2 linked regions of the Cricetulus griseus genome follow. The protein of the gene in region 2 interacts with the protein of the main gene of each other region in a pairwise test. Links are inferred from orthologs where the notes say so. Each region holds a gene or a part of one and is shown on either strand. Other genes may lie near its edges. The genes, in order: Efemp1 and Ric8a.

Region 1 (3,812 bases), on a different chromosome or scaffold from region 2:
AATATGTGTGATTTTTTTTCTAATAGCTCCAGAGGAATGATTATGTAAAATCTATAACTGTACCTGGCACACAGTCAACTCTCAATGAGTATATGATGACTCAATGGTGCCTGTGTCTTCACCTAGTAGACATTCATTTTACAGCATTGCACTTGGCAATAAGGTTGTATAATCATATCTGAACATATAATCTACATTTGTCTGTCACAGGATACAGGCATAAACATGTTACTCCACAGAATTCGAAGATCAATAATAGAAAGGTGTACAAGGGACAGAGACAGTAAGCAGCTCAGTGGCCTGCTGACTGTGGTGGTCCATGGAGGACTGGGTCAATCCATAACAAGTACCAAAACTCAGAGTACATGTTTAGCCATGGCAATTGAAACCAGCACAACACTTTCCTTATAGTTTATATAAATATCAGACTTCAAGAGATTGGAAATTTTCAAAAAAGATCTACTTCATCTTAATTGGTAGGGAGAAGAAGTGACTAGTTATATTTGGATAGATCCTAGCTCCTAGGGGAGGTGACTCTGGGTTGGGATTTGATAATGAAATGGGGTTTTGTAAGGGAGTGTCTCAATGTTCTGGAAAGAATGTGTATAAATGTGTGGCACAGAACCATAATCAGTGAGAAGAAGCTGTGATACATCTTGGGAGGAAGGGTACTGATGCAATCAAAATGATGAGGAAACCCTATTTATGTTCTACTGAGGAATGTAGAGCTACTTTTGTGGGCGAGGGCAACATCAACACACACATGATGAGATATGAGTTCTGCTTTCCACTTCCCTTCCCATAAAGGCTGTCTCTCTATGTTCCTTTGTCTTCAATTCTCCCAGCAGTGGAGCGTGTTACTACTGTTCTTTTAGGCCCTCAGTGTTTATTTTCCTGACTAACCCAAAGAGCATAGCTTTGGCATCTGTGGAGTTTTCCAGTGCTCTTGCTCTGTGTCATAGCTTCCAGCATTACAAACCCTGGTTCTTCCTTGAGTCTGGGCACCCATTCCAGCACCTAGACACAACCCATGGCAGGCAGAGCCAGCCATGGTCTACAAAGAGCTGAGTGCTGACATTCTTATGTCAACAGCTCACATTCTCAGGTAGAAGTTGATGCTGGCTGCCTGTCCCCAAACCCTCACTCTTGGCTCCTAACAGAAAATCTGGCCTTCCCACTGGTCTGTGGTAAAGGGTTAGGTATGTAAACAGATGGGCAGAGGGAGCCAATCCTAGAGGTTCATGACTTCTGCTAGGCCTCTTGATTGAGCCAGAGAGCTGTTTTACTTCACTGCAGGCCAGCCCTCAAATTGTGTTCTTCCATTCATTCAGAATGTATGCAGACAATTTACCACCTGGGCACTTTGTGGGTACTGTGGCATCAGCACCGACACAAGCTGACATGGTCCTAGACCTCAGGGAGGTCTCCTGTCATCATCAAAGACTTGCAATGTAAAGAGGCTTTAGAGCAGTGGTTTTCTACCTGTGGGTCATGATTCCTTTGTATATCAGATACCCGTATATCAGATATTTATATTACAATTTATAACAGTAGAAAAATTATAGTTATGAGACAGCAACAAAATAATTTTATGGTTGGGGGTCACCACAATATGAGCAACTGTATTAAAGGATCACAGCATTAGGAATGTTGAGAACCATTACTTTAGACTATGTTAACTCTACCTGATGATCCCAGCCAGCCACATGGCACAAGACCACACATGTGCTAACTATTGGCATCTATGAGCTCCTGAGTTGGAACTAGTGCTGCTTCTATAGGACAAATGACTATAGTGATACAGAGTAACCTAAATAGTCATAGATTCAAATGACAGTTGTGGTAGAGGGGGCATTTGACCTCAGCATCTTTCTCATGCACCATGTTCCTCTGTGTAGTGGCAAGTGAAGCACCTGTCAACAGTATGTTAGTGACACAACCCCTAATTAGTTAACTCCTAATTTATTTAGTTCTTAATTGTTTTTATAGTTCCAATCAGACTAGATTTTTGCTTTCACTTAGTCTATAGTACTTTAGTATTCAGGGTAGGCTCAACCTTAAGGTTCCTGTTGGCAGTCAGAAACTATATTGGTCGTCCTTGGAAGAGGAAGCAGTTGCTAGCTATCATTCTTCAATCAAGTGGGAGGGCTTTGTTTTGTTGCCTAAAGTTTCTCAAGACAGGAGTCTTAATACTATACCAGGGACTTACCCACACACTGCTCTCCTCTCTTCTGATACCCCGGAAGACACTGGCATGTGAAGGAGCCACGTAAATTGATGCACACTTGATCTTCTCTACAATTGTGGGTCCCTGAGGTGCACTCATCGATATCTGAGAAAGACATGCAATATAGAAAGAATTCCAGTTGTTTGTGAAGATATGGAGGCTTTCTTCATTCGCCACTTCATTTTTCATAAACTGAATTTTACTTTATTATTAAAAAGCATTATAATATGTTATGTTGGAGACATTTAAAATGCAAATGCCTACAAAATAATTTCAGAACTATAGTATGTACACCTGAGATTTAAGATGTCCTAACAATTTTCATGCCTGTCTTAGCCCTTTAGCTGCTTTCAGCTACAGTTAAAGCCTTAATCCATCTTCTTCCTTTTATCTATCACTTATCACTTTCCAAGTAGGCATGGATACTTTCCTGAGACAGTTTTATACTTTATTAGACAGAGATATGCCTATGAGAATAAATAACAGATCCTTGGAAGGTTAAGGCAGGAGGATCTCCAATTTAAGTGTAGCCTGGGCTACAGAGGAAATTCAAGTCTAGCCTTGACAACTTAGACTCTATCTCAAAGCTGTAAGTAAAATGAGACTACAATATAACTCATCAGTAGAACACTTTCCTGTATGTGTAATGCCCTAGGTTTGATCACTAGTAGCATGTGCATGTACACACACACACACACACACACACACACACACACACACACACACACACAGAGAGAGAGAGAGAGAGAGAGAGAGAGAGTTAGATTGCACAACTCCTACTTTGGCAATAAAATTGTTTCGTATTTAAGAGAATTTCTTAAGCCTTACTATTACATATTCTCTGTTGCTGTTTTGGGCATATTTTTCTCAAATGGTAGACTAACACAAGTGTAAAACTCAAAATGAAAAGCATCAATTTGATCTTATTCTTCTAGGAGAGATGTTAGTATAGGTCAAAATACATAGCTTTCTAAGACATTTTACTTCTGGGAATAATTGCTACATGTGTCTTCAGTAGGAGGCAAGTCAAAGTTCTAGAAAAGAGGTGAACTTACCAAAGAAAGCCAGCTTCAAGAGTTTGTTCCTCACTGAAGTGTGGTAGGAATTTAGTTACTTGTAGGTGGAATTCATTTTCCCTTATCTACATCATTCACAGTCATTAAAAAAATCACATATCCATCAGGAAGTTAGATTTTAAAAGGGGGCTACATAGTTTTGGTATTCTCTAACAACTGAAGAGTAAGCTTTAATAAAAATGTCATAAAATGAGTAATTTCTAGATGACTATTTTTTTTTGGATGGAACCAGATAGACTTGCTGGGGAAGGGATCTTAGATCATCACTGTGGTAGACTCAGGGTTGTGGGTAGAGAATCAATGAAAAGAAATTAATTCTCAACAATGAGAATCAACTATGCTTTCTGTTTTCTATCTACAGCAGAGAGTGGCCCTTTGTGTTATTTTGCTTTTGATTTTTCTGGGAAAATTGAATTGTTGCATGTAGTGTCATAAAGTAAGCTCTTCATTTCATAAGAGGGCCATTCTGAGATAACCCTGCACGTAGCCGGGTGTGGGAGCAATAACAG
Region 2 (4,452 bases):
CAAGGCGGCGCCAGCCGCAGTCTGTCTCTGCTTTTCCTGGAATACGTAAGCGCCACCCCCCACTAAGGTTCCCTCCACCGAGAATAGAGCGATGGCTCCAGCTCTGGACTTCACTTCCTATCCCCCTACCCTCGGATGCCCTCACCGCGAGTCCAATCAGCCATCTCGCCCTCCAGAGCCCCACTCTGGGACACCGCAGCACAGCGACGGACGTGGCACCGGCTCCTGGAAGAGGCTTCCGGTTCCGCCTCAGGTATAATAACTTCCGGGAGAAGGGACTGGAGCGGAAGAAACAAAAATGAAGTTGTTCCATGGAATGTAAATAAGGGAAGGGCGGGCCGCCTGCGTTCGTGCCCGCGGATTGGCCAGCAATAGTAGTCCCGAGATGTGGGTGGTACCCGGAGCATGAGCTCGGGCACAAACCGGGAGCTGAGGCTGGAAACCGGCTCGGTAAAGCTGCCGGATGCCTCGGGCGCTGCGGAAGCCCGAGTGTGAGAACTACAAGATGCGGAGGACGGACAGAACTGAAGGAGACTGGCGAAGGAGACGCCAGGGCCTGACACCGAGCAGGCGCAGGGCACGCGCCGGTTAGCTCAGCGGGTGGCAGATCATCCGCTGGAGCATGGCTTGTGTGTCACCGCGAGGTACACTCTCACCGACCATGCCTCCAGCCACGCGGAGTGCGGACCCGGCTCCCCAGCCACCCACCCTCTACCCAGCGTTGGAACGCCTCTCACACTGACGGGCCGCGGCTGGCCGCCCCTCCATTGCCCCTCCCATGGGAGTGGCTTTCTCCGGGTGGTTTTCGCTTCCCTCTGACCCTTCCTCATACACTGGGACTTTCTTTTTCCTTTGATGGCCACATTGTTTTTGATGGTTCGGTCTTTCGTTTGTTTTAAGGACGGTCTCACTATGTATCCCTGTCTGGCCTAGAACTCACAGATCTGCCTGCTTCTGCTTCTCGGGTGCTGGGATAAAGGCGTGCGCCACCTCGCCGAGCTATCCGCTTTATTTTGACCACCCGAGTCGTTGTGTTTGTCTTTCCCGCGGAGCATGAGCTTCAGGGTCTGGACCGTGGGGCTCCAGCTGACTAAGCGACCAGAAGATAGTGCTCCCTTCATCTCTCTCCCTGTTCCCTGACCGGTGCGTAAGGAGGGCGGTCCATGCGGGGGCCGAGACCCCACCTCCACGCCCCACGCCTGCTAGAGAGGAGGGAGAAAAGGGGGGCGAGGGGATGCTACTTGGCTAGCTAGCGCCGCTGTTCCAAGACGAGCCGCTCGGCGATCGCGGCCAGGTGGGCTCCACCTTAAACCGGAGGCCCGCCCCACGCCTGTGCACACCCTTTCTGCTCGGCTGTGCTCCCGGCATCCCTCACGCGTGGACTCGGGGCTTCCGGACCTGGGCGGAGCCCGCGGGTTTGGCCGATTGCGTCTTCCCAGCCCAAGCCTTCCAGCACCCGGTGCCAGGGGCCATGGAGCCCCGGGCAGTTGCGGATGCTTTGGAGACGGGAGAGGAAGACACAGTGACAGAAGCTCTGCAGTCGTTCAACCGGGAGGTGAGAGGCACCCGGCTGCTGAGGAAATTTCTTGGAGAGAGGAAGCAGTGGTGTGCGCGCAGCGCGGCCGGGGTGTGCGTGCGAGTGTGGCAGGGAGCACGGCCTTGGGAGGCGGGCTGGGCCTCGGGGGTTTCAGTGGTGGGGCAGGTGTAGGGGAAGCGAGGGTGGTGGGCCCTGCCTTGCGTTCAGAGCAATGGCTGCTGCCTCAGAGGTAAAAGCAGACCGGCTGCCCTGACTCGAGGAGCACAGGTCCTACCTGCGCGTGGACTTGAGCCTACTGGGTCTCCTCCCTGCAGCACTCCCAGAGCTTCACCTTCGATGATGCCCAACAGGAGGACAGGAAGGTAGGTGCCATCCCAAGGGGCTCCTAGGGCAGGCATGGGCTGCCCCAAGAAGAGGGACTGGTGGATCCACTTTTGTCCCTCCCCACAGAGACTCGCAAAGCTGCTGGTCTCCTTACTGGAGCAGGGCTTGTCACCGTCACACCGTGTCACCTGGCTGCAGACTATCCGAATCCTAACCCGAGACCGCAGCTGCCTGGACTCATTTGCCAGCCGCCAGAGCCTCCATGCACTAGCCTGCTATGCTGACATCACCATCTCAGAGGAGCCCATCCCACAGCCCCCAGACATGGATGTCTTACTCGAGTCTCTCAAATGCCTGTGCAATCTCGTGCTCAGCAGCCCCGCAGCGCAGATGCTAGCAGCAGAGGCTCGCCTGGTGGTGAGGCTAGTGGAGCGTGTGGGACTGTACCGCAAAAGGAGCTATCCCCACGAAGTCCAGTTCTTTGACCTGAGGCTCCTTTTCCTGCTAACTGCCCTTCGCACTGATGTGCGCCAGCAACTGTTTCAGGAGCTGCACGGTGTGCGCCTGCTGACTGAGGCGCTGGAACTGACGCTGGGGGTGGGCCCCAAAGAAAAACCCCCGGTGGTACTTCCGGCCCAAGAGACAGAGCGGGCCATGGAGATCCTCAAAGTGCTCTTTAACATCACCTTTGACTCTGTCAAGAGGGAGGTGGATGAGGTAAGTTGTAGCCTGAAGTCATGGGTGGGACTCAGCTCAGCTGGGACAGTTTTGTGGTTTTGCTTCCTTCCTGCCTCAACTTCCTGGGTGCCAGACATGGCAAGGATAATGGGACATCAAGGCAGGGAATCCAAGGAAGGTTTCTGAGCTGTGTTGTGGGGGTGTGTTTGTGGGAAGGCTTTAGGTGGCCAAAGGTCACCAACTGTGCTGTGGACAAAGCCAAGTGATCAGCTCCATGTGGCCCTGGAGCACTGGAACAGGGGACTCCTCCTTACAGGAGCCATTTTCTGTCTTTGGTTAGGAAGATGCTGCCCTTTACCGGTACCTGGGGACCCTTCTGCGGCACTGTGTGATGGTTGCTGCTGCTGGAGACCGCACAGAGGAGTTCCACGGGTAAGGGGCAGGACTTACCGTGTGTTGACAGTGGGGAGAGTACTTAGGCATGGGTACCCTAGTCCTCAGCCCTAGGTGTCAGTAGAAGCACCAGGTCCCACCGTAAGAGTATGACTGTCAGAGGGATGGGAAACCAGAGTGTTCCCAGAGAGCCCCAGGAACTCAGAATATGACTAGGGGAAGAGCTAAGGTGGAAACAATGGTGGCCCTGGCATTGTAAGGCAATGGTGTTCCTGCTGGTGGTGACCAATAAGTACCTCACCTGACTTGGTATCTCAGCTCAGACAGAATGGGACAGGCAGAAGTTTGTCTCCCCACCAAACTTGAATGGAGTACTACCTGCCCTTGCCTCTAGTCCTCGGTGCTGTCCTCAGTCCCCCATATCATGTATACCCCAGGAGAGGAGCCGGGGATTACTTCTGTGCTAGAGTTACTCTGTCAAGGCCTCTGTCTGTCCCCAGCCACACGGTGAATCTCCTGGGAAACTTGCCCCTCAAATGTTTGGATGTCCTTCTCGCCCTGGAGCTACACGAAGGATCCTTAGAGTTTATGGGAGTCAATATGGAAGTGATCAGTGCCCTTCTTGCCTTCCTAGAGAAGCGTCTGCACCAGGTAGGTGGAGGACCTGCTATGTTGTGGCTTCCATTTCTGCACCAGGGAGAGAGGTCAGCTTGAAGGTATAACTTGGACAGTTTCTCTGGTTGCTCTGTGGCCCCACCAGAGATAGCTATTCAGTCAGACCCTCTCCGAAGCTTGTGGATACAGCTTGTGTGTGGACCTCAATGCTGCTGATTCCCAAAGAAAAGCAGGCTTCTCAGGGTCTGCCAAGGTGAATGTTGTCTTTTAGGTCTCTGCAGTTCCCTGTTAAGTGATTCTCAGAAGCCTTTGGTTCCTGCTTCCCTAATGTTCCCATACATTGGCAGCCATAGGTGACAGCATTAGTTGTCCTGCATCTTTTGTTTTTTGTTTTTTATTTTTTATTTTGGTTTTTCAAGACAGGTTTTCTCTGTGTAGCCCTGGCTGTCGTGGAACTCACTCTGCAGATCAGGCTGACCTCAAACTCAGAGATCAGCCTGTCTCTGCCTCCCAAGTACTAGGATTAAAGGAATGACCCCAACCCCCACCTCCACCCCCACCCCCGTTGTCCCTCTGCATCTTAAGGAGACATAACCAAGGGTTACCTGACACCTACAGTTATAATATGGGACCAGAGAGCTGGTGATCTAGCCTATCCTGTGGAGCTCACACAGATGAAAGCCATAGATAGAGGTTCATTAGATCTCCGAGGAGCCATAGGGTGCTCAGCACCTATGAGCTGGGTGAGGACAAAGAAGCTAGTGTTGAATATGCTAGCTGTGACTGCCTGCCCTTATTGCTATAACGGCTGGTATTGGACTCCAGGGAGATAATGGGAAGGCAGGGAAGGGATAGGTACACTGCTTGCTGTCCATGAAGCACTGTGGTTAAGGATGTTAGTTAGT

The links.
Region 1: the proteins of Ric8a (region 2) and Efemp1 interact in binary tests that used the Homo sapiens proteins (3 or more experiments, as listed by UniProt). The link is inferred for Cricetulus griseus from reciprocal best matches to the Homo sapiens genes RIC8A and EFEMP1.

Annotation. Positions count from the first base shown.
Region 1 is NW_023276807.1:78,378,689-78,382,500, forward strand, and holds part of Efemp1 (EGF-containing fibulin-like extracellular matrix protein 1), read right to left. Parts: intron 2,333-3,812; coding exon 2,210-2,332; intron 1-2,209. UniProt on the Homo sapiens protein: Binds EGFR, the EGF receptor, inducing EGFR autophosphorylation and the activation of downstream signaling pathways. May play a role in cell adhesion and migration. May function as a negative regulator of chondrocyte differentiation.
Region 2 is NC_048596.1:60,341,174-60,345,625, reverse strand, and holds the start of Ric8a (synembryn-A), read left to right. Parts: upstream 1-1,418; 5' UTR 1,419-1,471; coding exon 1,472-1,555; intron 1,556-1,851; coding exon 1,852-1,899; intron 1,900-1,987; coding exon 1,988-2,578; intron 2,579-2,879; coding exon 2,880-2,971; intron 2,972-3,432; coding exon 3,433-3,583; intron 3,584-4,452. Other genes in the region: Bet1l (BET1-like protein), read right to left, coding at 146-407.